Diceros bicornis minor: one gene and its partners. The protein of the gene in region 1 purifies or fractionates together with the protein of each later gene. This does not show direct contact. Links are inferred from orthologs where the notes say so. Each region holds a gene or a part of one and is shown in the gene's direction. Other genes may lie near its edges.

What was found.
Region 2: the proteins of PPP6C (region 1) and PPP6R2 purify together in Homo sapiens (affinity purification with mass spectrometry; 9 studies listed by BioGRID and IntAct, counting the BioPlex papers as one, with this or other methods). This does not show direct contact. The link is inferred for Diceros bicornis minor from reciprocal best matches to the Homo sapiens genes PPP6C and PPP6R2.
Region 3: the proteins of PPP6C (region 1) and PPP6R1 purify together in Homo sapiens (affinity purification with mass spectrometry; 11 studies listed by BioGRID and IntAct, with this or other methods). This does not show direct contact. The link is inferred for Diceros bicornis minor from reciprocal best matches to the Homo sapiens genes PPP6C and PPP6R1.
Region 4: the proteins of PPP6C (region 1) and ARHGEF2 purify together in Homo sapiens (affinity purification with mass spectrometry; 4 studies listed by BioGRID and IntAct, with this or other methods). This does not show direct contact. The link is inferred for Diceros bicornis minor from reciprocal best matches to the Homo sapiens genes PPP6C and ARHGEF2.

Annotation. Positions count from the first base shown.
Region 1 is NC_080767.1:33,595,949-33,603,388, reverse strand, and holds the start of PPP6C (serine/threonine-protein phosphatase 6 catalytic subunit), read left to right. Parts: upstream 1-4,438; 5' UTR 4,439-4,556; coding exon 4,557-4,631; intron 4,632-7,440.
Region 2 is NC_080764.1:452,116-459,314, reverse strand, and holds the start of PPP6R2 (serine/threonine-protein phosphatase 6 regulatory subunit 2), read left to right. Parts: upstream 1-4,178; 5' UTR 4,179-4,313; intron 4,314-7,199. UniProt on the Homo sapiens protein: Regulatory subunit of protein phosphatase 6 (PP6). May function as a scaffolding PP6 subunit. Involved in the PP6-mediated dephosphorylation of NFKBIE opposing its degradation in response to TNF-alpha.
Region 3 is NC_080773.1:33,275,789-33,282,734, reverse strand, and holds the start of PPP6R1 (serine/threonine-protein phosphatase 6 regulatory subunit 1), read left to right. Parts: upstream 1-3,941; 5' UTR 3,942-5,033; coding exon 5,034-5,057; intron 5,058-5,632; exon of another isoform or gene 5,633-6,417; intron 6,418-6,946. UniProt on the Homo sapiens protein: Regulatory subunit of protein phosphatase 6 (PP6). May function as a scaffolding PP6 subunit. Involved in the PP6-mediated dephosphorylation of NFKBIE opposing its degradation in response to TNF-alpha.
Region 4 is NC_080743.1:59,647,504-59,654,646, reverse strand, and holds the start of ARHGEF2 (rho guanine nucleotide exchange factor 2), read left to right. Parts: upstream 1-4,131; 5' UTR 4,132-4,255; intron 4,256-7,143. UniProt on the Homo sapiens protein: Activates Rho-GTPases by promoting the exchange of GDP for GTP.

The DNA of each region.
Region 1 (7,440 bases):
ACCATCTAACTCGAGAGAGAGATTAAACAGAAAAAGCAATAACCAGATACATTTGTAAAAAGTGCAAGGAATAAAAAGTTCATCCATGAGTATCTACTCTTGAGGAAGTTACTTTTCTCTGGGCGTCTGTCTGTAAAATGGAGCTAATAAGATTGTTGTCACAAGGTGATGAGGAATACATGAGCTAATTCATGTATATAAGGTGTTCGGTGCGCAGCGCAGAGCTGGTCCTCTGTAAAGTGTGGTGCTATTCCTAGCTATAAATGAACTCTAGACACCAGCCCTGAGTTAGACGTGTTCATATGCATTATCTCTGGTCTCCATCATAACCATGGCCCTGTGGCTTCCTGAAAATGGAGAGGTGGCTCACCTATGTCTATGTTTCAGAGACCCTGGTGATCACTTAGGAGGACTGGGACAGTCGTGTCCTAGGAAACAGAAGAAATCGCTAAGGAAGGAAACCGCAGGAGCTCCTGGAGTCCAGAGCTGTGGTAGCAGAGTGGGAAGCAGTCAGACACACTCCTGTTCAAACCCAGGCTCCAGCACTAACCCTGACATTTGGCAAGTTCATTACCCTCTCTGAGCCCTAGTTTCCTCATCTCTAGAATGGGAATAGTAATACCCACCTCAGGGAGCCGTAGAGAGGATCTGATAGTACAAGTGAAAGGCCAATTTGGTGAAATCTTTTAGCTACTTTCTGAAACTATAGCAAAAATTTATTGACATAATGGAATTCGAGGTCTGCAGCTCTTCTCACTGCTCAAATATCCTATTTCAAACACCTCAAGTCTTTGCGAGTTCCCATATTAATGGAAAAAAATCCCCATTGACTGCCAAAGGGGAGTTTAGGGAATATTCAGTCATTCTGCTCTCCTTCAGGAAAGAACACCAAGGCCAGGTGGGCTCTGCCATACATCCATGTGCATCTAGATGGAGATTTCTACCCAGAGCTGCAGAATGCTCTGACAGCCCCCGTGTCTCTCGGCTCCATCCATTTCACAGTGCCATGCTGGAGTTGCACAGAAACAAGAAACATTGGAAGAGGTTTGTGGGCAAAATGGCAACCAGTTTTCATCGTGGGACCTATGCTTTTGGACTACAAATCGTATTTCAGAAAGTGCTGGAAGGAAATTTTGAGATCTATTTTTAAAATGGAAATGGAGGCTCAGGGAAGTTAAAGTGACTAACCCACATAATGGCAGAACCAGGAGCCCAGATCTCCTGCTTTGTGCAAGGAAGACTTAGAACATGTTCCAGTCAGCAAGCTCTGTACACTCTCTCGTCTCCTTGCCAAACTACCCAGTGTGTCTATCACCTCTCCCAAGAACTCACCCAGCACTCTGAGGGACGCGTCCCTCCTTTCTCTCTGCTGTGGATGTCAAGAGTCAGGTATACTGAATGAGGTGAGTCTGCAGGAGGGAGCTTCTTACTGCCATACAGTTTGGTAATGTGAGGACTGCCACCTTTCACTGGAAGGGGACACCACCTGCTTTCATTGCCTACCTGACTTATCAGCAAGGGAAGCAATGATACTGGGCCGGCCCTGTGGCTTAGCAGTTAAGTGCGCGCGCTCTGCTACTGGTGGCCGGGGTTCGGATCCCGGGTGCGCACTGACGCACCACTTCTCTGGCCATGCTGAGGCCGCATCCCACATACAGCAACTAGAAGCATGTGCAACTATGACATACAACTATCTACTGGGGCTTTGGGGGAAAAAAAAAAGGAGGAAGATTGGCAATAGATGTTAGCTCAGAGCTGGTCTTCCTCAGCAAAAAGAGGAGGATTAGCACGGATGTTAGCTCAGGGCTGATCTTCCTCACACACACACAAAAATAATAAATAAATAAATAAGCAACGATGCTGGTGACACCTTCCTTTTAAGCACTTTACAGTTTATAAAGAATATTCATATCCATCTTCCTATTTGTCTTTCCTCCCAGTTCTTTTTCTTTTTTTTTTTTTTGTGAGGAAGATCAGCCCTGTGCTAACATCTGCCAATCCTCCTCTTTTTTTTTTGCTGAGGAAGGGCCCTGGGCTAACATCCGTGCCCATCTTCCTCCACTTTATATGGGATGCCGCCACAGCATGGCTTATCAAGCAGTGCGTCAGTGCGCACCCAGGATCCAAACTGGTGAACCCCGGGCAGCCGCAGCGGAGCGTATGCACTTAACTGCTTGCGCCACTGGCCAGCCCCCCTCCCAATTCTGAGAAGGCATCTTGAGTAGGATTCATTTCCAGTTACTGAGGTTCAGAGATGAAAAGTGAATTGCCAACTTTCCAAAGAGGACTATTAAAAAAAAGTCAAACAACAATAGCATCTTTTCCTCATTTGGATATTTTTCTCCAAGAAACTCTGAGCATATTATCCCTTGACTTTTTTTTTCTCTAATGTCTGAAATGTTACCTCTTCAGGAAGGCCTTTCCTGCCCACCCAATACTCAGAGCAAACACATTGCACGCACTCTTACGTGATATTGTTTTAAGCCCTTTCCAAATATTAACTCCATTAGATCTCAGTACAAGCCTATAAGGTAAATATTATTATCTCCATATGAGGTAGGCACTATTATTATCTCCATATTGGAGCTGAGAAACTGGAGCACAGAGAGGATAAATAACTGCCAAAGTCACACAGTGAGTAACAGAGCCTGGACTTGAACTCTGGCCATCTGGTGCTCGAGTCTGCACACTTTTCCTCCACTATATTGCCAACCTAAAGTAGGCCTCTTCTACTCCATTTTTCTTGCACTACCCCTTCTTTCCCTTTTTAGCACTAACCACACTTTGAAATTAATGATTTGCTCATTTATATGTTTATTGTTTGTCTCCTCTATTAGACTGTAAGCCCCATGAAGGCAGGGATCATATCTGTCTCATTCACGTCATAGGTACGATATAACTATTTGTTGACTAAATAAAGAAATGTATGCTTGTGGGCATCATTCATTCTGCAACAAACTTTGAAAAATTAATTTTACTTTGAAACAATTTCATACTTACAAGACAGTTGCAAGAATAATACAAAGAACTTCACCCAGAGACCTCATTAAAGTTTAGCCAAATGTCCCCAAAATACACTTCAGAGCAAGAGGATCCAGTCCAGGGTCACTTGCACAAAAAATATTTATTGACCTCCTGCTCCTATTGGATTATATAACAGTCTCCTAACTGGTCTTTCAGATGCAACCATTGCTTCCTACAGTCTCATACAGCAGCCACAATGATCCTTTTAAAATGAGTTAGATCATGTTACTCCTCAGCTCAAACCCCTGCAATAACTCCCCATTGCATTAAAAGTAAAAATCAACGTTTTTTTCATCTCTCCTATTCCTCTCACCTTGCTCAACTACACTAATCTTCTTGCCATTTCCCGAAGATTCTAGACATGCTTCTATCTTAGGGCCTCTGCATCAGCTCTTCACTATAATTTCCCTGAAGTATCTGCATGGCTAACTCCCCCACCTCTTTGTTGGTTCCTAAAAATGCATCACCCCATCTCCCCTACCCTGATGGTTTTTTTTTCCCTTGCACTTATCACTAATATGCTATACAGTTATTTATTATATTTATTGTTTATGTTCTGTCTCCTCTACTAAAATGTAGCTACGAGTTGAGGATAGGGATCTTTGTCTGTTTTGTTTACTGAATATCCCAAGCGCCTACAACTGTACTTGGCACATAGTCGGTGTTCAATAAACAGCTGTTGAATGAATGAACGTAAAGGTATACTAAGTGCCAGGTCCTGTTCTAAGCGCTAGAGGTACAACAAAATCTCCTCGTCCTCCTGGGACTCACACTGAAGTATATTTAAACCAGACAGACCTATGTTCCAATCTCGGCTCCCTGCCTGTTCCCTGTGAGATTTAGGGAATGTTACTTAACCTCTCTGAGCCTTGCTTTCCTATCAATCGTTATGAGGATTAAACGGAAAGCCAGCATTTGTATAGCATTTAGCATAAGAAATGCTTTAATATTTGTTTCCCTTCCTTCCAGGCTGGAAGACTGGTAGCCTGACATCTCTGCCACAGGTTTATGCAAGGTTTTCACAAAACCTTGAAAAGGTGCAAACAGGTTATAATGGCCAGGCTTACACAACTTTTAACTGAAGATGTTCTGGTGAGAGAATGCTTAATAGGGTCAGAGTGAGAAACCAGGGAATGGCTAGGGTCACCTACTTCGCCGTTTTGCGTTGGAAAAGCCTCGCTGGGTGCCCAGAGGTGAAAGTCTGCAAGAAAGAAAGGGGAGGAAAAGAGGAGTAGCTGGCCACTACTGAAAACTACAAATCCCAGCACTCCCCACGGCAGACAACTACGGGTCCCAGCAGGTTTCACTGTCTGGAACGAGGCGGCCTCTAGGGGCGTGCAGCCTGGGTTCAGCGGGAGAAGGTGTGGGGCGGACCGAGGCAGCGGGGAGAATCCGGTCAAGCTTTACGCCGTTGCGCAGACGCCTCTCACGGGCCGGACGTGACGTAGGGAGAGTTCCGGCTTCGGCCTCCGCCGCTGCCGCCGCTACTACAGCAGCCGACGCTGCTTCCGTCGGGGCTTGTTATTTCTAAAATGGCGCCCCTAGACTTGGACAAGTATGTGGAGATCGCGCGGCTGTGCAAGTACCTGCCGGAGAACGACCTGAAGGTGAGCCTGGCCGGGGCAGGAGCGCTGCTTGCGGTGCTCGCCCCTTCCGGCAGCGGGGCACCCGCCGGCCCGCCCTTCCTCCCTCCGCGGGACCCCCGCCGGCATCCCGTCCCGTCCGGTCCCGGTGGAGGGCCTGTCGCGGGGCGAGGCCGCCCGGTGCGACTCGGCGTCGCGCGGAGAGCGGGGGAGCCCGAGTCCCCCGAGTGCTGTCCCCGTTCCCTCAGCGGGGATCCCGCGGGATGCAGCGGTCTGTGCCCCAGCCTTGCCCCTCTTGGTCTCCGGGCAGCCCCTGGGCTCCGAGCCCTAACAGCTTTGCTTAGAAGGCTCCTCTCCCCTAACCCCTTACCCGGGCTCCGGGAGTCTGAGCCGAGCCCCAGCGGGCAATGCCTTCGGGATGGGGTCATCCCCCAGAGGTGGTGACAGGAGCCCGGGTGGCCGGCGTCTGACAGGAGATGCCGCCGGCTCCCGGAACGCGGCCCCCGTGTGTGTAGGTTTTTGGGGAGTGGGACGAGGGTGGGCCAGAGCTGTTGGGTAGAGATGTGAGAACGTCCAGTCGTTCCTCTTTCCGTCCGTCTTCTCCCAGTTGCTCTTTAGGAGTGTTGGTTTGCGTCTGCTAATGCAGATGGGAATCCCGTTTTGGAGTCCCTTGTTGAGCTAACTTAAGTGGATAAAGTAGTAGGCCCTCAATAAATACAAATACTTTTCTGTTCCCCCGTAAATTTCTGAGTGTAATTTAGTAAAGGAATGTCAGTCTTTGGTTTACTGCTCTTTTGACAAGTGTTTTTCTGCGTTTGTTAAAACCAGTGCTTAGGTGTCGAGCAGTGTTGAGCCAAGTGCTAGTGTCTGTTTTATTCGTTCAGTTAACTTTGATTTGCTGTGTGGTGAGTGGCTAAACTGTTGATAGTTTTGCGTTCTTTTTATTGTTTAGGCTGTGGGTTTAAAGTAATTTGTCTTTGTGAATTCTTCCTCTTAACGAAGATGTTACTGTTTTTTTTTTTTTTTTTTTGCTGTCTTTTTTGGTACAGGAAGTTGATATTTAACATCAGTCAACAAGTATGCAAAATGTTTAAGGCCACAGGAGCTGTTGTGAATGTAACTTACTTGTACTCACTTGTTAATTATACGTGCTGTATGATAGGGGAGTCATTCTTGTGCATTTTCCCCTTTTTGGTAGGATAATTTAGTTAAAATGAAGACAGAGCCAATATTAGTAGAAATGTAGCTTTCGTGCTCATCTGAATCCTTCAAACGTTAGTTTTGTGGCTTCTTTCTGCTATACGTTTTTTTAGGAAATGAGGGTACCACCACCATTGGCACCCAGTTCATGGAAAACTAACCAGACATTTTTTGGTAGCACTGTTAATCGCGTAGGTGAAGTTGGTTTTTGCATGTCAGTGAATTGATGTTGAATTTTCTGTTCTTTCATGTATGTAAAGCTGTTTAAGCTTTGTGTTTATAATGAGTAAAATGTTGCTTATTGCTTTAGGCTTCTTAGTTTGATAAACATTAGATTTCCTTCCCACCTTAAGGAAATATAGTTATTAAACCATTTCATTTCCCTTTGCAACACAGTTGGACTGTACTTAGCATGTATCTGTTTCTTTTTTTTTTTTAAAGATTTTATTTATTTATTTTTCCCCCAAAGCCCCAGTAGATAGTTGTATGTCATAGTTGCACATCCTTCTAGTTGCTGTATGTGGGACACGGCCTCAGCATGGCCGGAGGAGCGGTGCGTTGGTGCGCACCCGGGATCCGAACCCGGACCACCGGCAGCGGAGCGCGCGCACCTAACCACTAAGCCACGGGGCCGGCCCAGCATGTATCTGTTTCTTAATAAATTTTTTTTTGTTAATTTTCTGGACAAATGGGAAAAAAAAGAATTCTGACTTTTTCTCTATAAGTAGAGGCTTTTCTTCTTTGTCTTGGAAATGTTTTTATCAGATTAATTTGCTTGCACTGCTCATTTCTGGTATATTTAAAGAAATTTAATTTTGTTGCTACTTCTTGGCATAAAGTACAGACTAAATTTAGGCAGACCAAGAAAGTATTCCAGGAGCACCTTTCTGGAGGTTTTAAAGCCAAAATAAAAGATTCTATCAGAGGAGGAAAAGAAGTCATTGGGGCTACTTAATGGTCATTATGGAAAAGATTTGTTCTGGTAGAAGAAAGAAATTCACCTGTGTTTTAAATTGACTAGAAGAAGTTGCGAGTACTAAATAAAATAATAAATGTGTAGGATGTTCTAGGTCTAATCAGGATTTCTCTATATTTAAGTTGGAATTGGTCAGATCACTAGTACTGGATCGAATCTACATAACTGGAAGGAATAAGGGTGAAATTTGTGAGAGTAGACCAAAGCGTAACCTTCTTTTCTTAAAAAAGAGCTCATGTGATTCTCATCCACAATAAAGATTTCAGAGCAGATCATGGAAGATACAGATTCCATATCTGGCCAAGTGGAAGAATGAATGATAGAAAACAGGTTTACAGAATACTTAAACTTCAGTATGTTGGCAGGAGAGGGCTTCTGTAATTTGGCGATTGTCTGATCTCTTGGGCAGTTCTTAAAGGTTGAATGTAAGTAAAGTTGCGCACTGAGTTGGTGTTCAGTTTTTTTACTGAAGAACTGAAGACAGTTGTGGTATGGGTTGGGAGAATACTAGTGTCTGTCTCAGAGATGCAACACAAGGAATTATGTAATTCCATAGTAACCACTTATGGATTAATAGTTAATGTCGTCTTTTTGGAACTCACTTTTATGTTTAGTCTGAGCCACCTCTGAGTTTTTCATATAAGGCTACCTGCTCTG
Region 2 (7,199 bases), on another chromosome or scaffold:
TCAGCATTTTAGTTCTTAGGATGGAGTGGTGATGCCCAAGCTCCTTACATGTGGAATTCTACAATGTAGAATTGAAATGGTGAAAGCAGACATCCTTGCCTCGTTCACATCTTTGTGGAAAAGCATTAAATCTTTCACCATTAAGTTCAATGTTAGTATAGATTTTTCCTAGATATCTTTTATGAAATTGAGGAATTTCCCATCTTTTCCTACTTTATTGAGAGTACTTATCATAAATAGGTATTAAATTTAGCCACATGCCTTTTCTGCAACTATCAGACAAATCCAGTGGTTTTTATCCTCTACTCTATTAATATAGTGTATTACATTAATTCTGTTTTGGATGCTAAAAAAACTTTGCATTCCTGGGATAAACCCCATTGGTCTCAATAGATGATCCTTTTTACATGTTGCTGAATATGGTTCTTCATTCATTCCTGTTGATTTGAGTGAACATCTGATGTGATTTCATTTCAGCTTGAAGAAATCTCTTTAGTATTTGTGGCAAGGCAGATCTGCTGGCAATGAATCTTCTGTTTTGTTTATCTGGGAATATTTTTATCTCACCTTCATTTTTGAAGGATAGTATTGCTGGGTGTAGAAGTTTTCATTGACAGGTTTTATTTTTCCTTCAGCCATTTTACTGCCTTATGGACTCCATTGTCTTGATGAGACGTCAGCTATTAATTGTACCATTGTCCCCTTTATGTGATGGGTCATTTTTCTCCTGCTACTTTTGTGGTTTTCTTTCTGTCTCTGACACGCTGCGCTGTGGTTATGGTGTCTATGGGTGTGGATTTCTCTGTGTTTGTCCTACTTGGGTTCACAGAGTGGTGGTCTTTGGATGCCCTGTCCTGTGTCTTGCTGCACTGTGGGGTTCTTGAGAAGACCAGGACAGAGCCACAGTTCCTCCTGCTCTGACGGCACTCCAGAGGCAGCACTCATTTTACATCACAGTTTCACTTTTTCCAATTTATTGGTCAATAATTTTGCATTTGGGGTTCTTAGTGATAGAATTTATTTTACTTAGTCCTTCTGTGTCAGAAATACTGAATTCAGCTTGTTCTAACTGTTCTGTGTACACTAGAAGAGAGTTTAGAAGAGAAATCTGTTAAAAAGCCACATGTATCAACTACATCTTGTGACCAATTACAGAAACATAGGTTGTAGCAGTTTTGCGCATTTTCTCTTTGCATGTTATAGTGTGTGTTTATTTGTATATATGCACCATTTTCTTCTCTCTGCTTTCCATTTTTTTTAAATATACAAGTTGTCAGAGGTTAACTTTCCTATTTAGTTTTAACATAAGAGCATAAGAGAATATTCAGTGGAACAGTGACAGAATTTGAGGGGTAATTAATGTAGCCAATGATAGATTCAATGACTGATGGGACTGTGAATATGCTGCCTTTGGGGAAAGAGTGAGAATTTCTTCACTTGCAATAAGGATGGATGTATCGTGTTAGGTGAAAATATAGCATTGTTTTCTTATAGTATGGAAGTTCAAATATGTTTGAAAGGATGCGTACAGAAGCTGACTACCCAGAGAGTCAAACTCTGCCTGTTTTCCACTGATTGCCTCAGATCCAAATCCACTTCTCTTTACCTGCACTGTGATAATGGAGCTGGATCCTGTAAGCATTTCTCTTTTGCAGTTGGCACAATGTTAAGCTTTGCCAGTACAGAGTGCCGGAGGGTCACTGCTGGAAGAAGGGACTTCTGGTTTCGATGTGCATCCTTTCTCTTCTTGTTCCTACTGCACAGCTGTCAGAGTCACATGTGGAAGACATGCAGCGGTGCCACCTCTCTGGATGGTTTCTCACTGAGTTTCAGCAGCACCCCCATGGGTGGATTCCCAGTGAGTCTTGCAGACACTTCAGCAGGAAGTTTTCCAGGCTTAGCCAGCATGCACCTTGGAGGGGTGTATTCCTGCCCATTAGTCTCTGCTCAGGGACTATGGATCAGCTGTGTCCTGGGACACCCCAGAGAATGTCTATGTCGACCGCTGGGCTGCAGCCACACAACTCTCCAACACAGAATGAACTCCCACCTTGGGGAGGGGACCACCTTCCAACTTTTGTCCTTTCTTGAATCTAGAGTTCTCTTTACTCCTTTACAATTAATCCCTTGTTCTCAATAATTTCTATATGAAAATTCCTCTGTTGAAGACATTGTGTGGTTTCTATCCCCTTATTGGACCATGATTATTGATACAACAAGGAAAAACCAAGCAGGGAAGGGGACTATGAAGTTTGCATGTGTGCATGCATGTTTGCACATGTGCATGCACACGTGTGTGTGTGCATGCATGAATGTAGGCTTCAGATTTGAAATAGGGAGGCCAGGAAGCTCTCACTGAGAAGGGGGCAGTGGAGTAAGATTCAGGAGGCAGGTCAGTAAGTGCGGCCATAACTAGAGGAAGAGCATGACAGACGCAGGGACAGCATGGGCAAGTGGCTTGTGACAAGGTTATCATGACTGGAGCCAACAAACAAGGGACAGAGGAGGGGAAATGAGATCAGATCACATGGGACCTTGTAAGTAGTAGCAAGGACTTTGGCTTTGCGCTGTGTGAGACGGGAGCCCTGGGGGAGGGATGTGATCCAACTTTTTTCCACTGGATCCCTCTGGGTGCTATGCTGGTTACAGCAAGCTGGCCTACAGCAAGTAGCCAGGGTAGAAGCAGGGAGCCCCGTTGGGAGGCTGCTGTTGTGTCAGGTGAGAGAAACTGGTCTTGGATCAGGGCGCGGTGGTGGAGAGCTGGCTATATTTAGAAGTGGAGGGACTTGCTGATGAATCCAGTGTGGGGGATGAGAGGAGGAGTGGGGCCCCAGCTGACCCCAGGCACTCTGGCCGGAGCACAGGAAGAGCATCAAGATCAGGCAGAGGGTTGCAGGCGCTCACACAGCGGCACAACCAGTGGGAACATCTCCCGCACAGGACCCCTGGCCCTGAGCCCCCATTCTGCAGCTCAACCACGGCACCCCCAGCTTCTGTGGGGAGGGGCCTTCGATTGCAGGGCTTGCAGGACATTCCTCTTCTCGGTTTAAGGCTGATGCTTTTTTACCACCACTTCCTGGAAGTTCACACTATAGAACTTGCCAGAAATCTGCCTTGCAGCATACCAGGGAAAGGTGTTTAGGGAGAGATGCCTCACCAGAGACATTCTGCTATAAAGCTGCCCAAGGGAGAGCTGGGGAAGCTGCAGGAGCTGGATGCAGGGAAGGAAGACGGGCAAACTGCAGAGCGAGGCCCGGAACACACCCTTCCTCCCGCGACGCCTCTCCTGCGCCCCCTACCGACACAGTTGAGCACAGGCGAGCCCAGACCCGTTTTCGCAGAGCGCCGCGGTGCACCGGCAGCTGAGAGGCAACAAGTTGCTACCTAGCACAAGTATTAGGTATTTCTTAAGTGCTCGACTTCTCTTTCCAACATTTTCCCACGGTTCACGCTGACACCTGAAATAATTCTCATTTTAGAGATTAGTTTGATTGAATTAAACAATTCCAACAAATGTTAAATGGGCACATATTTTAATGTGCAAAACACTGCAAGAACCTGCGGGGCACCTGGAAAACACAAGTCTGGGGGCTGCTGCTCAGGCGCCCCCAGGCCAGTTAGGAAGCAGGAGTGGAGGGGGACCTCCGCTTGGCACACGGGGGCTGACCACTGTTCACTCTTGCCCACCGTGTCCACGCCGCGAGCCCAAGTAGCTTCGGAGACACCCAGCTGCGCCAGGGGGAGGGTCTTCAGGCGGAGAGGAAGGCCCCAGAGAACCGGGAGACCCCTGCCCCGGTGTGGCATCCTCAAATCCTTTCGGGTCTCTGGAGGGGCCGTTCTGTGACTGACGTAGCATTGGAAACTTTACTACTGCAAACGCATCATCCTACAGAAAGTTAATTACGCTTGTGTAGAAACTCAGCAACACCTCAGACGGAAAAGGAGAGGGACAAAACCACACCGCGCCCCACTCCGCCCTCCGGCGGCCCACGCCCTCGCGCTCCCGCCGCCGGGCGCGTCCACGTGAGCGCGCGCCCCCGCGCCCCCCGCGAACGAGCGCGCCCCCGCGATGCCCCGCCCCCCACGCGCGTGCGCCCGGCCGCCGCCGCCATTTTGGAGAGACCCGAGCGCCGCCCGCGGCCCTAGCTGATCTCGAGCTGCCGGCCGGCCCGCGCCGTGTCCGTGGGCGCCGCGCCCGGCCGGGCCCATGTGCGTGCGGGGCGCCCCAGGCCGCCCGGGCTTCGCCTCCGCCAGCGCCCTGGCCCCCACCGGGGCCTCCGAGGAGCCGCCGCGTCGCCGGGCCCGCGGGGCAGGTGAGTGAGGCCGCCCGCCGCGGCTCCTCAAACCGTGCCCGCGCCTGTCGGTGCCCCCGGAGTGTGCACCCCAGAGCCCACCCCTCCGTCAGTGCCCCCCTCAGTGCCCACCCCCTTAGTGTCCGCCCCCCACCAGAGTCCGCCCCAACTCAGTATCCGCCCCCCACCAGTGTCCACCCCCCGCAGTGCCCACTCCCCCTCAGTGTCCACCTCCCCAGTGCCCACTCCCCCTCAGTGTCCAACCCCCACGAGTGTCCACCCCCCACCAGTGTCCACTTCCCCATCAGTGTCCACCCCCACGAGTGTCTGCCCCCCCCAGCGTCCACTCCCCGTGCCCACTGCCCCTCAGTGTCCAACCCCCACGAGTGTCCACCCCCACCAGTGTCCACTCCCCCGTCAGTGCCCACCACCCACGAGTGTCCGCCCCTTATCAGTGTCCACCCCCACCAGTGTCCACCCCCACCGGTGTCTGCCCCCACCAGTGCCCAGCACCCTCAGTGTCCACCAGCCACCAGTGTCCACCCCTGCTCAGTGTCTGCCCTCTGTCAGTGCCCCCACCCGTCAGTGCCCGCCCCCTCAGTGTCCACCCTTCCTCAGTGTCCACCCCCCTCAGTGCCCACCCCTTCAGTGCCCACTCCCTCAGTGCCCACCCCCCCCACCAGCATCCACCCCCACCAGTGCCCATCTCCCTCTGTGTCCACCCCCCACCAGTGTCCACCCCACTCAGTGTCCACCCCCACCAATGTCCACCCCTCACCAGTGTCCACCCCCACTCTGTGTCCACCCCTCACCAGTGTCCACACCCCCTCTGTGTCCACCCCCCACCAGTGTCCACCCCATCAGTGCCCACCCTGTCAGTGCCCCCTTCCCCTCAGTGTCCATCCCCTGTCAGTGTCCATGCCATCAGCGCCCCCCCGTCAGTGTCCACCCCGTCACCGCTCCGCCTTGTCAGCGCCCCCCCGTCCGTGTCCACCCCATCAGCGCTCTGCCCCGTCAGCGCCCCCCGTTAGTGTCCATGCCGTCAGCGCCCCCCCATCCCTGTCCACCCCCTCAGCGCCCACCCGTCTGTGTCCACCCCGTCAGTGCCCCCTGTCAGTGTCCGCCCCATCAGTGCCCCCCGTCAGTGTCTGCCCCGTCAGTGCCCCCCCGTCAGTGTCCGCCCCGTCATTGTCCCCCCATCAGTGTCCACCCTGTCAGTGCCCTCTCGTCCGTGTCCACCCCCTCAGTACCCTCCCCGTCAGTGTCCGCCCCGTCTGTGTCCGCCCCATCTGTGTCCCCCCGTCATTGTCCGCCCCGTCAGTGCCCCCTCGTCCGTGTCCACCCCCTCAGTGCCCCCTTGTCAGTGTCTGCCCCGTCAGTGCCCCCCCGTCAGTCTCCGCCCCGTCATTGTCCCCCCATCAGTGTCCACCTCGTCAGTGCCCTCTCGTCCGTGTCCACCCCCTCAGTACCCTCCCCGTCAGTGTCCGCCCCGTCTGTGTCCCCCCGTCATTGTCCGCCCCGTCAGTGCCCCCTCGTCCGTGTCCACCCCCTCAGTGCCCCCTTGTCAGTGTCTGCCCCGTCAGTGCCCCCCTGTCAGTGTCCGCCCCGTCAGTGTGCCTCCGTCAGTGTCCGCCCCGTCAGTGGCCCCCTGTCCGTGTCCACCCCCTCAGTACCCTCCCCGTTAGTGTCCGCCCCCTCAGTGCCCCCCCATCAGCGTCCGCCCCATCAGTGCCCTCCTCCTCAGTGTCCCACGTGTTAGTGCTGCCCCCCTGTCCCCCCAAGGCAGTGTCCGCCCCATCAATGTCCACCCCATCCGTGTCCCACGTGTTAGTGCTGCCCCCGTGTCCCCCAAGGTAGTGTCCACCCCCTCCCCCACCTCCTCCCAGTCAAGTGTTTCCCACATTAGTGACCCCCTAAGTGCCGTCCTTCCTATCAGTGTCACATGTGTCAGTGCCCCTCCTCCCTGTCCAGTCCTCCCTCCTCTCTGTCAGTAACCCTCACTCTCAGTGCCCTCCCTGTTAATGTCCCTCCTCCCCCCTGTGCTGCCAGGTCCCCATGTCGTTGTCCACCCTGTCTGTCCACCCATCGGTTCCCCCCCCTTGCCCGTCGAGGTCCCCCATCAGTCCTCCCTAGCCTGTCAGTGTCACCATCCCCCTCCTCGCTGCCTCCTCCCTCACCCCTGTCTGTTAGGGGCCCTGCCCGTCAGTGCTCTGACCCACCCGTCAGTGCTCTGACCCACCCGTCAGTGCTCTGTCCCACCCGTCAGTGCTGCCGGCTCCTGCCGGTGGGGTGTAGGACACTCCCTCCGCAGGGCCTCCTGCCATCACTCCCTTGTCCACTCACTGACTGCTGTTCCTATCCCCATTCTGTCACCTTCCCCCGTGCACCTTCTTGGCCCCTTTGAATGCCCCCCACCTGTCGCTGTGACGTCTTCCGCACACCCCCACCTGCCACCTTTGTGTCCTTGCAGCCTACCTGCCTTGTCCACCCACTTGTTACTGACCACTACCATTTGCCACAGATCCCCTGTCCTCTCACCACCAGCTCACCCAGTCTGTCACTTGCGCTTAGTTCCTGCCTCTCACCGCCCCCCCTCCCCCATTTTGTCACTGTACCCACCTGCCTTGTCCTTGTGGCCTTCTCTAGCCTGTTACTCTCACCTTGCCAGTCACTTCCCCCATGGCTTCTCCCTGCCACGCCCTTGGCCTTTTAGTGCCTGGACCATCACTGACACTCTCAGCCTTTCACCTCTTCTCCATGTCCCTTCCTTTCTGATTTCTCTTCCCTTTTGGTTCTTCTAACTCTCATGTTAGCTGAGCTCTGGAGGGCAAGAAGCAGCTAGCTATGAGAAGAATGAGGGGTCAGAGCCTTCCAGGCTGAGGGGACAGCACGTGCAAAGGCCCTGAG
Region 3 (6,946 bases), on another chromosome or scaffold:
TCTCGTGTGGAATTTACTTGTACTCTTCGGATTTTGGAGGGACAAATTATTTTCACCCCTCTTCCCAAATTCAGAATAAATCGAAAGGTAGCTACAGGATCCGAGAATTGGAGATCAAATATTACCTTTATTACTATTAGAGCCAATCACAGAAAGTGGCTTTAGTCTTGCTGCTACTTCACCCTGGCGTTAGACGTGCTTGCTCGCCTGGTGGCAGGCAGCAGTGGGCAAGCAAAGGTGTCCCCTTGGGTGCAGGGAGCAGGCCAGACACTGGGCAGGCTGGCTCCAAGAGGAGGGAGAGCTGGAAGGCTGAGCCATGATGCCCATCCAATCCGGTGAATCATTCCTCTGCCCCTGGAAGGGTTGGAGAGGCCAGGAGAGAGACAGTACGCAATAGATATTCCTCCATATGGAAATGTGAACAGTGGGGGAATGAGCGTTCCCACTATACACTTGAAGAGGCCCCTTCAATTCTAAGACAAACAACAGCATTGTCTACCTGTGAGTTCTGACAGGCTGGAGACCCAGCCTTCAGCCCTTAAAACCCCTGCCGCTTCCCAGGTTCTTGCAGACTGACTTCATCAGCTACTCAGGTTCCATTTGGTGGTTGAATATGGCCACACACACAGCCCCTGCCCCCCGCCCCCCAGTTCCTGAGGATACGTGTTAAAACAGTGTGGCAACAATCAGACTGGAAAAACAGCAAGCCAAATGCTGGGTAAAAGACAAAAGATGTAGGAGAAAAGATGACTCAAGGAACAGAAGGAAATGCCTCACAATTGCTTCAAGCTGTACAACAACAGGAACCGAGGTCCATTTTAAAACAAGACCTCAAAGAGGAAAAGGTAAGATTGGCAAATCTAAGGAAACAAATTGAGGACTGTGCCAAATTAGATGGTTCAGCAAATATTCATTCTCTTCCATTCCAGCTTCATGAGAAAAGTACACTTTCCCACCCCATGGCGGGTGGAGTGCAGGTGCCTGCCCCATGACTTGGGGCTTGACCATGTGACTTGCTTCTACCAATGATGGTGGCAGATGAGAGGTGACCTGTGACTTGAAATGTGCTAACAGTTGGGCTTGATCTCTTGTGCTTCTGCCTTCCCTTATGAGATGGTGCCCTCGGGAGCCCACTGGTTCCAGATTATGAGAGACGTGAGGAGTGGGAACAGCCTTGCTGACCTTCACACCTGCAATTCCAAACCATGAACATGATACATGCCACCGAGGCTGTGGTTGTTTGTCACAAAGCAGTAGCTAACGGACACAAGGACCAAAAACCATCATATGTAACAAATACACTGGAAATAGCAAGGACCAGGAGAGACACGGCTGAAAAATGAAATTATTGACGTGGTAACCAGTGAATGCAGGTGGAAATGACAAAGATGAGAGCAATTAGAAGCTAACAGATGTGAAGGACAAATGCATAATTGGCTTCCTTGAAACAGAGGACAACCAACCAGAACCTGAAAATGTACTCAAACACATGATTCAATAAAATGTCCCTGAAATGAAAAAGGTAAATCTGCAGGTTAAAAAAAAAGTAAAAGTTGAGTCCTTACACACATTTACTCAACTTATCCTTACAGTGGGCCTGTAACCTGGTGCAAGTTGGGGAAAGTGAGGCTCAGAAAAAGATGAGACCTTAATGCATAGTGATACAAGGTCTAGGAGGATCCTTCCAGTCGATGTTGTTAGAGGATGCTTTGTTAGAGGACACTGGCAACAGTAAAGACACGGCCTGGGCAACCTAGAGGTGGGACTGAAGTCCCCTTGAAGCACAGAGAAGGCGTCGAGAGAAAACCGGGCGAGACAGAAGCGCTTAGCCTTGGCTGGAGAGAAAACCCGGGATGGATTCCCCAGGAGCTCGACCCTGGAGCCACAGCAGGAATATGATTGGAGGAGACAGAAGAGCGCATGGATTTCTAAAAGGAGCGAGTGGGAAGAGAAATCCTGGAGCAGGATTTTCTCTGGACTTTGGAACGGAGTCGCAAGAGAAATGCCACCGGGTGTGCAGCAGCGCCTGCGCATTGAGCTGTCTGGGTTTATTCGGGGAGAAATGGTTGGAGCAAACTGGCGCAAGCGCATCTGCAACGGAGATGTTCTGGCTGGGCGGCGTCTAGAGCGGCTGTGCCCAGCGCGCACGCGCACTGCAGGATCCGGGCGCGCGGCCTCCGGGCGCTTGCACACCGAGACGGCGGCGAGAGGGCGGGGCCTCCTGCGTGCCCCTGCGCTAGGGGGATTGTGGGATAGTGGCGGACGGAGACGGGCGTCGGAGGCCCTGAAGAGGACTGGAAAGCCCGGAGACCTCGCCGGTTTGGGGAAGGGGAGGTGGAGGAAGTGCGCCTCGACTTCCGTCGGCCGCTGCTCAGCATTGCGGCCTGTTCGGACTGCGGAGGACGACGTCTTCCCCGACCGGCGTTTGCTTTCCTGCGGGCGCTGGGCCGGGCCGGGAAAACCGCGGCGACTTCCCCGCTGAGGGCCTGCGCGGGCCTCGCGACCCTGCTAGCCTCCTCCGGCCCCCAGTCGCGGCTCGCGCCCACCTCGCCGGCGGCCCCGGACCCACCCCCGTCCCAGCCGGCGCCGACCCCCGACACCTGGAACTCGGCTTGCGAGGGCCCCCCTAGCCCCGAGGGCGCGTGCGCGAGCCCCGGCCCGGCCGCCTGCGCGAGTCTCCGCCGCGGCCCCCCGCCCCCACATACCGGGCCTCGGAGCAGGGGCCGGAGCCGCCGGCGGCGGGGCGGGGGGGGCGCCCCGATGAGCCCCGAGTGCGAGGAGCCGCCGCCCCCCCGCGCAGGTGAGCCGGCCGCCCGGGACCCTCCGCCCGTCCAGGCATCCTCAGTCCCCGCTCCGCCCGCCCTCCTGCGCCCCGCTTAGGTACCCCCGAATCTGCTCAGCCCTTTCTCCTTTGGGCCCTTCATTACTTCTTGGGCATTTCCCTCCTCCAGTCTCTTCCTCCTCCGCCCCTAAGTCTTCTAGTCTCTCCCCTCAGCCCCCCAAGTCTCTCAGTCTCTGCCCCTCGGCCCCCCAGGTCTCTTAGTCTCTGCCCCTCGGCCCCCCAAGTCTTCTAGTCTCTGCCCTTCGGCCCGTCACGTTTCTTAGTTTCTGCTCCTCGAGCCCCCAGGTCTCTTAGTCTCTGCCCCTCGGCCCCCCAGGTCTCTTAGTCTCTGCTCCTCGGCCCCCCAAATCTCCTAGCCTCTGCCCCTAGGCCTCCACCCACCCAGCCAACGTTCCCCAGTCTTCTCCCTTTGACCCCCGCACCTCCATTTTCCCCACCTTGGGACTCAACCCCACTCTTTTCTCCCCTGGCCACTCCCTCTCAGACAGCCTCCTCTTTTTCTCCTCAGCCCCTTCCCCTTGGACACCCCCTTGCCCCTCTTTCTCTGTCGCCGGCTGTCTAGACCCCAGCTTCTTGGGGACTCGCACTCTTGGTCAGGACGACTGGATAGTGGGCCTTCCCCTTCCCTTGACCGTGGCTCCCCCACCCTGTGTTTCTGGCCTCTTGTGAGGGGGACCTTGAGAGCCAGCCCTCTGGAACAGCCGCCATTCGATCCCACTTCTGTGAGATGAGCCTGCTGAGGGCAGGGCAGGGAGCCTGCTGCTGGGTGTGAGGGAGGGGGACCTGCCTCTGCCGTGTCCTGGGGAGACAGAGGCAGAGGGACAGTCACAATTACTGGTGTTGTGATAGAGGTAACTCAGGGCGCCACAGGAGGCCACAGCCGAGGGACTGGTGAGACTGGCTCAGCGGGTGGCTTTTTCTGTCTAGGAAGGATGAGTAGGAGTTGACAGATGGAGAGTGGGAAGAAGGGCCTTCCGGGTGGAAGGAACAGCACGTGCAAATACGTGAAGGTCTGTGCGCTGGGGTGCAGATGTGTCGCGAGGGAGTGGGGCATGACACCTGCCGGGGCTGCCTGTCCGGGCCCTTGAATGTGACCTTCTGGTGAGGGTCTTCCTTGCTTGCTCTTTTGCACACCTGTACGTCTGTGCTGAGGATGCAGATGTTACCGTTAACCAGAAAGGCAGGATGTTTCTGGAAAGGAAGATGTGTTGTCAGGTGTGGTACGGGGTTCAGAGTTGTCAGGAAACTTCAGTGGGGTGTAAAGTGGCACCGACATCGCTGCTCTCTGCACAGGGTGGCTCTGGGGACCCATGCGCTGTTGGCAGAAGTCTGTAGCAGAATGCAAGGCACAGGACGTGCTCCAGGATCAGTAGCTTCTAGGATTGTTATTTGGTTTGGGGTGGTCTCTTGCAGTGCGTTTTCAGCTGGGGGTGCATGTGTCCCCCAGGGTTCCTTTGGCAATGGCGGGAGACAGTTTCAGTTGTCACAGCTGGGAGGTGCTACTGGCATCTGGTGGGTGGAGGCCAGGGATGCTGCTCCACATCCTGCAGTGCACAGGACGGCCCCTACCGCAGAGGGTGACCCGGCCCCAAATGTCACTAGTGCCGCCTGGAGAAGCCTTGCTCTCTCGCTTGGGTATTATCTGTACTTTTGGATTATCTGCTCTGTTGTCATCCGTGGGGAGCTGTGTATTCTGAGTTGTGTGTTTTGATTTACTCTTGTGTTTTTGTTGGGTCATCTTGTGTGTTTCTGTTAGAGGAGAACCTGCTCATCCCCCCAAAAAACTTTTTTTCACGATCTCTGGCCAAGTGACCTTAGCAGGTCACCTTCTCTCTCTGGACTTCAGTTTTCATTAATTCAACAAGTACCTCTAGCTGTGGGCCTGGCCTGGTGCTGAGTCCTGGGAAATTGGCATCTTCTGGGGGAGACAGGTGATTGAACAGGCAGAGCCTGTCACACAGCCGTCAGGTGCTGTCGTAGGGTGACCACGGAAGCCAGGGAAGCGTGGAGCAGGCCCTGAACACAGTCAGGGGAGGCTTCCTGGAGGAAGTGGTGTCTGCGCTGAAGCCTGAAGGACCCACGAGGAGCTAGTGAGGCTCAGAGAGCTGGAGGGAAGGCAGAGGGAGCAGCTGAGCCAGGGCAGAGGCGAGGGCGCGTCCAGCAGTCAGGTGTGGCGGGAGTGTTGGGCGCCATGCGGGTTGCAGCAGGAGAAGAGGTGAGAGGCCGGGGAGCCTTGGAGAGAATGAGAAGCCTTCCTGTTGCACCCGGCTCTCAGGCAGGCTCGGCCCTGGGGGTGGGGACGTGCCCTCCTTTCCGGGCCAAGCATGGTTTTCCCTTTGAACCCCGGTTTACAGTAGCTGTGAGGTGTCTCAGGTGAGGAGACTGAGGCTGTGTGGGTTAGGTCCCTGCTCGAAGGCCACGGAGATTGACGTTTGGAGAGACGAGGTTGGCCCCCAGCCTTTCTGACTCTGGATCACTCTGTAACACTTGCTCTGCTCCTCTCTGTTTTCCAAGGGCTGTTTCAAAATCTATGCCTTGTTCTTTTCCTTTTTTTCCTTTGAACCAGTGACCGATCCAGAAGAGGGTCCTGATGTGAGCTCTCGGCCCCTCCTCAGTCCTTGGCCAGCTGTCCCCAGTCTCTCCTATTTCCTAATTACTCCATCCCCTGGGGTTGGACCAGACTGCCACCTCCCCTGGGAGGTGTGCTCTGGGGTCAGAGGGGGTGGCGCCTAGGGTATCCCCTCACTGGGGACCCCCTCAGGCTTTCCCGAGCCATGGGAAAGTCCCAGCTCATGGTCCTGTGTGGCCTTGGCTGGGTCTCTCTCCCTCTTTGGCCTCAGTGGCCCCTTCTCCCAAGTGAGCGTCCCGCTGCCTCCCTTGCTGGGTTCCGCATCTGGCACATACACCAGGTCCTGCTCGGAGGTTATGGGGTCGCCATTACCGTCATCCCATTCTTGGAATCGGGAGTCCCCCACCCCCTTTCCAGATTTGGCCGAGAACTGACAGTGGATTGGGGGAAGTTAGAGGAGGGTGGTCTCGCTGTCCTCTGACCCACCCTGCCCTGCAAGGGCCTGAGGGCTGGCCTGCGGGTAGTGGGTTCCCTCCCCTCCTAGGGCTCGCCTAGTCCATGTCTCATTAGAGCTGTTGTGGGCCAGTGATGGCTGAGGGTGGCAGCAGTCAGCAGGCCTGAGATGGCCTCTCCCAATGCTGGCGCGTCTACCGAGCCTCAGGGCAGCTCAGGTGGCCGCCTCGGAGGCCCTCCCAGAGGCCTCTGCGCCCTTGACCTTCACTTCCGGGTGCTTTAGGGACAGGGCAGGCTAGGAAGGGGTGGCAGATAAAGGATCAGCCCACAGGCCCCCTGGCAGGCGGAGCTGTGTTTGGACAGATGGTGGCAGCAGCAGTAGCAGCAGTGACAGTGGTGGTGGCCTGCGGGAGCCTCAGTCGGACCCTGTCTGAGCCCAGGCAGGGGCAGGGGCTGGCAGGATCCTGAGAGGGGCAGCTGGTATCGGAGGCCTGAGCACAACACAGCAAAGCAAGAAACCCGAGGCGATGGTGCAGAGCTGGCGCAGGGAGAGGTAGTTTTCTTTTTAATGGCTTCCTTTCTCATTTACAGTTTCCCCTTCTTCCGTTTGCAGCCGGAGTCATGGTTTTCAAACGGTCGCTAAAAACCAGTGGTAGTCACTTCCGTTTTCTTGAAGTTTGCTAAAAGTTGCAAAGGGTGGGGGCAGCGGGGTGCGTGGCGCCCGCCAGAGTATTTGAATGACCTGACTCACTCCGGCAAATGGGGAGTCTTCTGTTTTCAGTGCCGTCACCCCTGGGGTAGAGGCTGTTTCCGTCCCTCCTGCTGCAAGTGTCCAGGCTTCTGCGTGGCCGCGGGGACAGACAGGAAGGGGCCAGCACTTGCCAAGCCCCTGATGTGTCAGGACCGCCTGCCTCAACCCGGCTTCTTCTCACAGCACGGCCTTGCCCGGTGGGCTGTGCCCCCGTTTCACAGATGAGGACACGAGGCTCCCGGATGCCAAGTGCCAGACCCAGGTTATGCTGTTAGAGAGTGAAAACGAAAGCCGCCTCTCCTGTCCAGTCCCAGGGCTTCCAGCAAGTTCC
Region 4 (7,143 bases), on another chromosome or scaffold:
CTAAACCTCATCTCTTTAAAGGATAGAATAAAAATTGACATAATAGCATGGAGGGGTGGAGTTTAGAAAACAGGAAAAACTTTCTGAGAAATGGAATGAAGATCTGAGGGAGAAGGAGCCCAGTGGACTCCATTTTCACAGAGGGCAGAGACTGTGAATGAAATGACAGAGATGCTGGAAAAAGGGTAGATCTTTGAGGTCAGATTCCAGTTGGTCTGAGCTGGAGGAAGAAGGGTGAGATCTCAGGACATAAAGATCTCAGGATCAGAAGGTCTATCCACTGGGCCAGGGTAGCAGGGTACCATCTCCAGCAGATGGCGTCTCTAGGAACGGAGGGAAAGGAAAGGGCTTCAATTCACTGCATTTCATTCATCTTGCCAAATCAGCCCTGCAGGCAGAAGTAGGGCAGGGATAGCAGAGAGAAGCTGGCTACAGGGGGTGTAGCTCAAGCAGTCTTTTCTCTTTTGTGAGGTCACTGAATGCCAAGCACCCAAGATCCTTGCAGCGCTGCTTCGGTGCCCCTCAATTTCTGTCCTGTTCCCAGCCCCTCTTCCTCTTTTCTTAGTCAGCACCTCCAGTTCATGCTCTTCCCTCCACTGCCACTTCTCACAATACTTTTTTGTCTGTTTCCCTCCTGCCCCCCAGATCTCAGCTTTGGAGACCACTGGTTGGCAGGGACCTTGCTCCGGCCCTCAGCCTCTGTCCTGCTCCCTCCAGATCTGCCTATCGCATTTACAGACAGCACATCAGATGGCATGAGGCCCAAGTCTGTAGACCAGGAGAGAGATCTCTCCTCGTGGCTGGCTGAGGGGTCCCCTCTACGTTGCTTCCAGATGTAATGAGCATGGACAGGCACAGGGCCTGGGCGGGTTTCCTAGGCCTCTCCTTTTTTATCCTTAGACCCACCTGGCAGGGCAGCAGAATGCTGTCTGCAGAGGCCTGAGCACTTGTCTCCCTCCTTCCCTGCGGTGGACAGGCATGCACTCGACACAGGCTCAAGCACCTTCTCAGCCACCCTGAGTGGGGGGAGGGGCAGTGGACAGATTGCAGTGGGAGAGGGAAAAGGGGAAAAGTTGATTGAAGGAGCAACTTTCCAACAACGTGAATGCTCCTGCGGGGGGAGGGTAATAGCACAGAAAGCCTGGGAGGAGGCAGGATTCTTGCTCACAGCTTCCTGGTCTTCCTGGGAACTCCCAACATCTCAGTAGCTGGGAGTGGTCCCTGGAGAAGGGGAGCCTGGGAGACTCATCCTAACAGAAGGTCCAGAGAGGCAGGGCCTATGAGTGAGCTGTACAGAGGTATGCAGTAATGTTAGTTCCCTTCCTGCCCCTCCACCGTCTTGGTCCTCTGGAATTTGGTACTTCTTTCTGGAATGGGGCTTATCATTTCAACTTTAAGAGCACCCGAGGGTTCTTAACTCTGAGACACACTGAGGCAAGCCCTGATGGCATGTGGGAGGGTTGGGCAATGACAACAGTGCAGTCCTGGGAGAGAGAGAAGGAACTGCGATGTGGCTGGGATTTGGAGCCCTTCTCTGTGCTGCACGAGGAGAGGTGGTAATAGCTCTCTTACTCCCCATATGACCAGAATTTTAGAGGGAAGAACTCACAATACTTTCTCACTCCTGAACCTTTCCTCCCTCCAGCTTTATCCGCCTAGCCTCCTCCCTCTCCAACTTGGCCAAATCCTAACCACTCCACCCCTCCAGGCCCATCTCAAAGCCTATCTACTCCCTTCTGCCTCCCTTTTTTGAGTGTCCAGCTGGTTATTTGGCATACTCTGGCCAGTCCGTCATTTGTGATTTGTGCTTTTGTCTATGTGCACACACGTGCATGTGCACACACACACATACTCACTAGACTGTGAATTCCTTGAGGACAGGAACAATATCTATTTCTCTTTTCTTGGCTTGGTTTTCTGCCATTTAGGTGCTCAGTAAATGGAAAAATAATGAGTGAATGAGGATGTCATTATGTACTGGTAAGAACACTGGACTGGGGGGCCGTCCCAGTGGCATAGTGATTAGGTTCACCCGCTCCGCTTCAGCAGCCCGGGGTACACAAGTTCGGATCCTGGGCGCGGACATATGCACCGCTCATCAAGCCATGCTGCGGTGGCGTCCCATATAAAATAGAGGAGGATGGGCATGAACGTTAGCCCAGGGCCCATCTTCCTCAGCAAAAAAGAAGAGGATTGGCAACAGATGTTAGCTCAGGGCTAATCTGCCTCAAAAAAGAACACTAGACTGGGTGTCAGAAAACCCAAGTTCTGGACTTGGCTCTGCAGTTAATTCTTGGTGTGATCCTGAGCCAGCCTTCTCCAGTTCTGTGCTTTAGGAAAGGGAGGGGTGACTAGATACTCTAGGCCCTGCTGACTGTGACATCTTTCTAGTTCTAAGTTTCCTGAGTTCTAGAACTCTGCTCACCCTTCTCTGTCTTCTTGACTCAGACTGGCCTGCGTGTGCCTCCCATGAACAGAGACGTCCCAGGTGGAGACCTGGTACCCCAAGGCCACACTCGCCGCTGCCTGTCTGCAGTGGAGTCCAGAGAGCAGCTGGAGGAAGAGGAGGAGGAAGAGGGAAAAAAGGAGGGAGATGGCTTCCATGCTGTACCCCTCCGAAGGTCGGGGGCTTTCCGTGCCCAGAGCCACAACTATGACCCCTTCAAAAGACATAGTTGGGGGCCAGGCAGGGAGCTCCAGGATCCAATGAGCAGGTAAATCCCCAGGGGACTTTCTGTCCTCCTTCCCTCAAGTCCTAGACTCAGGAGAAAGTGGTCAGAAACGAATGACAGGAATTGAAGAGACTTGGGTCCCTAGTCTCTTCCCTAGGGAATCAGAACCTGGGCCTATGGGAGGGCTTTGGGGAGGATGGACCCTGCCTTTCAAAATGTGGCTCTCCCTAGTGGTCCTAGCACCTTCTTTCTACCTGGTCTCAAGGGCAGGTGGGGGTCAGAGTGGAGGGGGTAAGGTGTGGAGTTGGGGTGAATATCAGGACATTTGGTCTTATTGCCTCCATCTCCACTTGGGTTTCATAGACGCATACAGAGATGCCAGAGCTGGAAGGGATTCAGGGATCATACGACCCAATCTCATTTTACAGATGAGGAAACTGAGGCCCAGAGAACTTTGGAAGGTTTCTTTCTTGAGAGAAGTGGTCACAGGTTTGGAGCATTGAATCTGCCCCTTTCCCAAATTGCTGCCTACCTGCTGGGTCCAGGCTGAGGCAGACCCAAAATGTTTTGGTCATCATAGTACAGCCCTGCAATGGGAGAATAGCTACTCTTGCTCAGAGGTCTGCATATGCTTGGCAGACCGGAAAAGAGGGACCCATCTCTTCTGCTTCTCCTGGAAAATCCCTGACCACTTCCCCAAAGACAGAGGAAGTCAGAAATAGAAGGCCTGGGGTGAGCGTGAAGAGTTCAGTGTGAGTGGTCATGTGAGGGCCTGCTAGCCATGGAAGGGCACTGTCTCTCTGCTTTGGCAATGGTCCCCTTGGACGAGTTCCCTTAGCTCTGGTGAGTAGACCAACTTTCTCTAGCTCCTGGGCAGGGCTGGCTGGGCCGGGTTAGGGGAGAGGACCCTGCACCTTGTCCCTGAACTGGCTTGGGTGGGAACTCAGGAGAGAACCTTGCCTGCAGGGCTCATGGCACCTTCCTAAGAGCAGCTGGTCCAAGGCAGAGATGCCCTGGGTACCCCTTATGTGATGCCAACTGTATCTCAGAGTCTTGCAGGTGCCATCTTTCACTATCAGGCATCAATTCTTGCCCTTTGGGTAGAGAGGGAAAGGAGCCCTGGGCACGCTATTCAGCTGAGTCGGGGCAAAGGCTGTCATCAGAAACCAGGCAAGGAGTGAGAATCCAGCTTGCCCTTCATTTGCCTCTCCCGGAGCACTGGCTTTCTTCTGGAGGGCAGTACTGCCTGTTGACCAGCAGGGGTCACTCTTGCCTGTAGCTAGCTCTGCACCTCTGCTAGAGCACAGCCCCAAAGAGAGGCTAGTTTGGGTCTGAACTGAGCCTATGCCAACAGGAAGGGCTGGGCTGGGGGCAAGCAACAGGGCTCGGCTGAGGCGGTGTTCCTCCCTGGTGCCCGTCAGTGGCCACTGGATACCGAGGGCGGTGGTGGCAATGTGTGTTTCAGGAGCAAACTGCAGGCATCGGGATGCGCGGGCCCCCGGGAGGCCCCCTTACTGCAGAGCCAAGAGGAACTGGACACCTTTCTGGAACTGCAGCACCGAGGTGGCCAGTCCTCCCGCGTGGTATGGACAGACTAATCCCTATGGAGGCCACTGCCTTCCTCCCCCTCTCCTGCCTCCTTGCCTGTCCAGCCACCACTCTGTGCCTCTTCTGTTCTGCCAGCTGCTGGATTTCTCTGTGCCCAGGCATCACTCTGACTCTATCCGACTGAATCTGAATCTGTTGTCTGTACTCCTCTGTCTGCTTCCCTGGGTCTGTCTGCTCTGTTCCCCACTCTTGGTATCTTGCCTCTGTCTCTTTCGCTAAGACTCTCTGTTCCTTCCTTTCTGTGTCTGTGTCTCTGTGTTGATGTGGGTATCTCTGTTCCTCTTTCGTTAAAAGGCCCCTATTCCCCTAGTTGTTAAAACCACTTCTTTCTGTAGACCCCCACATTTCTCAGATTTGGAGCTGAACTTATTATTTGTGGGATGAAACTAGGCATCTGGTACCTTGAAAGACAATAGTTCTCTAACAAGATAATCATGAGATTATCAAATGAGACAGGATAGAGAGATTGCCCAGCCTTCTGGCTTAGGGAACATAACTGGGGGGAGCTCTCAAACCAGGACCTAAGGACCTGAGGATATGAGGGCTTTGCGAGACACCACTGGGTCTACTAGCTAAGACTTCCTGAGTACACAGAAATGTCTCAAGCCTGGTGACTAAATGTTGCCTCCCTTCCTGCTCATCCTCTAGCTGGCCAGGGTTACCCACCCCAGCCTCATTGTTCCAGTGCCTGTGGTTTGGGAGACAGGCTGAGCGCAAGAGGCTGTTACAGCCTGTCAGGGGAAGACCCATCTGATCCCCTCACTCACTTTTCTCCATCAGCATCTCTGCATGTCTTCCCTCACCCCCATGTCAATATGGTATCATAGAAAGAACAGGATTTGGGAGTCAAACTGACTCTGAGATCCTTCATTTACCAGCTGAACAATTCATGTCGTCTCTCTGAAAGCCAGGATAATAACAACTGTCTTTTAAAGTTGTGATTATTCAGTGAAAATAGGTGTTCAAGTGCCCAGTACAGAGGCTGGCACACAGGATGAGTGCGAGAAATAAGTTTCTTTTTCCTCTTTTCCCCTCTGTTCCTTCATACTCCTTTCCCTCTCTTCCACCTGTCTCTTCTCCCCACTTTCCACTTTCCCCTTCTTGGTATTATATGTTCTCTTCTTTCCCCCCTTTCCCTAGTGTTTTTTTCTCTTTTTATGCCTTCCTGCTCTGATTCCTCCCCTCTCTCCACCTAATCTTTAAGCACTCCCCTTACATTTCTCCTTGTCTATATGTTGGAGGTTTTTTGTTTCTTCCTGCAGTAATATGTGCGTATCAGTACTCTACCACAGTCCACGGAGCAAAAGTCTGAGACTCATTAAACTCGACTGGGGCTTGCAGACTGACGGTCTATGAGCCAAGTCTAGCTCCAAAATTTATTTTGTTTGGCCAGCATGGTGCTTACACTTTCTAAAATTCAGATGTCCTTAAAGGAGGCCTGTGCGCTCCAGTTTGCCAGAGTTGCTAATACCCTCTGTTGTATTTTTTCCCTTTGTCTTTTAAATATAATATTTAAAAATGAATGTCTGGTAAATTGACCACCCATCTCAAGAACTAGAACATCACCAATACATTTATCTTTGTTTACGTCTTCCTCTCTTCTCTTATTCTCTTGCTTCCCCACCAGAGATAATCACTATCTTGAACTTTCTTTTACCACTCATTTACATTTTTTATAGTTTTAACACAGATATATGCATTACCTAATAATATATCATTTCTTTTTTTTTGTTTCTGAGTTTAAAAACAATGATGTTATATTGTACAAAATTTTCTATAACTTACATTGTCATTCAACATTCTGTTTCTAATTTTTATCCACGTGTTGCAAATAATTATAGTTCATTCATTTTCATTCCATTCTTCTGTTCATGGACATTTGAGCAATTTCCATTCTTTGCTATTATGAAGAATTGTCGATATGAACATCCTTTTTATCCACCTTCTGGTGCACATTTGCAAGAATTTCTCCAGGGTGTATACCTTGGAGTGGAATTGTTCGGTCGTAGAGTGCACAGATGTTCATTTTTACAATATAATGGCAAATTGTTTCCACTCCCATCAGCAGTACATGAGAGTTCCCATTGATCCATATCCTTTTCAACATTTGGAGTCATCAGATTCCTTAATTTTGCTGGTCCAGTAGTTATAAATCTCATTATGGTCTTAATTTGAATTATCCTATTACAAATGTGGTTGAGCATCTTTTCATATGTATTTTGTTCATTTGTGTTTCCTCTTCTGTGAAATTCCTCTTCATGTCTTTTGCCCATTTTTGTATTGGGTTCTTTGAGGGTTTTTTCTTTATTGTTTTGAATGTGTTCTTTATATGTTCTGAATACTAATTATTTGTTGTTATACGTGTTGAAGTGATCTTTTCTCAAAGATGGAGAAATATGGTTTGTCTTTTCCCTCTCCCATAGTGTCTTTAAATAAAGAGAATTTTTTAATTTTTTAAAAATTAACATATTTATTGGAGTATAACATACATATAAAACATGCATTAAAAAACTTTGAGGGGCCAGCCCGGTGGCACAAGCCGTTAAGTGCGCGTGCTCCGCTGCAGTGGCCCCGGGTTAGGCAGTTCGGATCCCAGGCGCGCACCGATGCATCGCTCAGGAAGCCATGCTGTGGCGGCGTCCCATATAAAGTGGAGGAAGATGGACACGGATGTTAGCCCAGGGCCAGTCTTCCTGAGCAAAAAAAAAAGGAGGACTGGCAGATGTTAGCATAGAGCTGATCTGCTCACAAAAAAAAAAAAAAAAAAACTTTGAGATTTTTATTGGAGTCGCATTGAATCTAAAGATTAGTTTAGAGAAAGTTGACATCTTTATCATATTGCTTATTCCTATCCATGAAAATA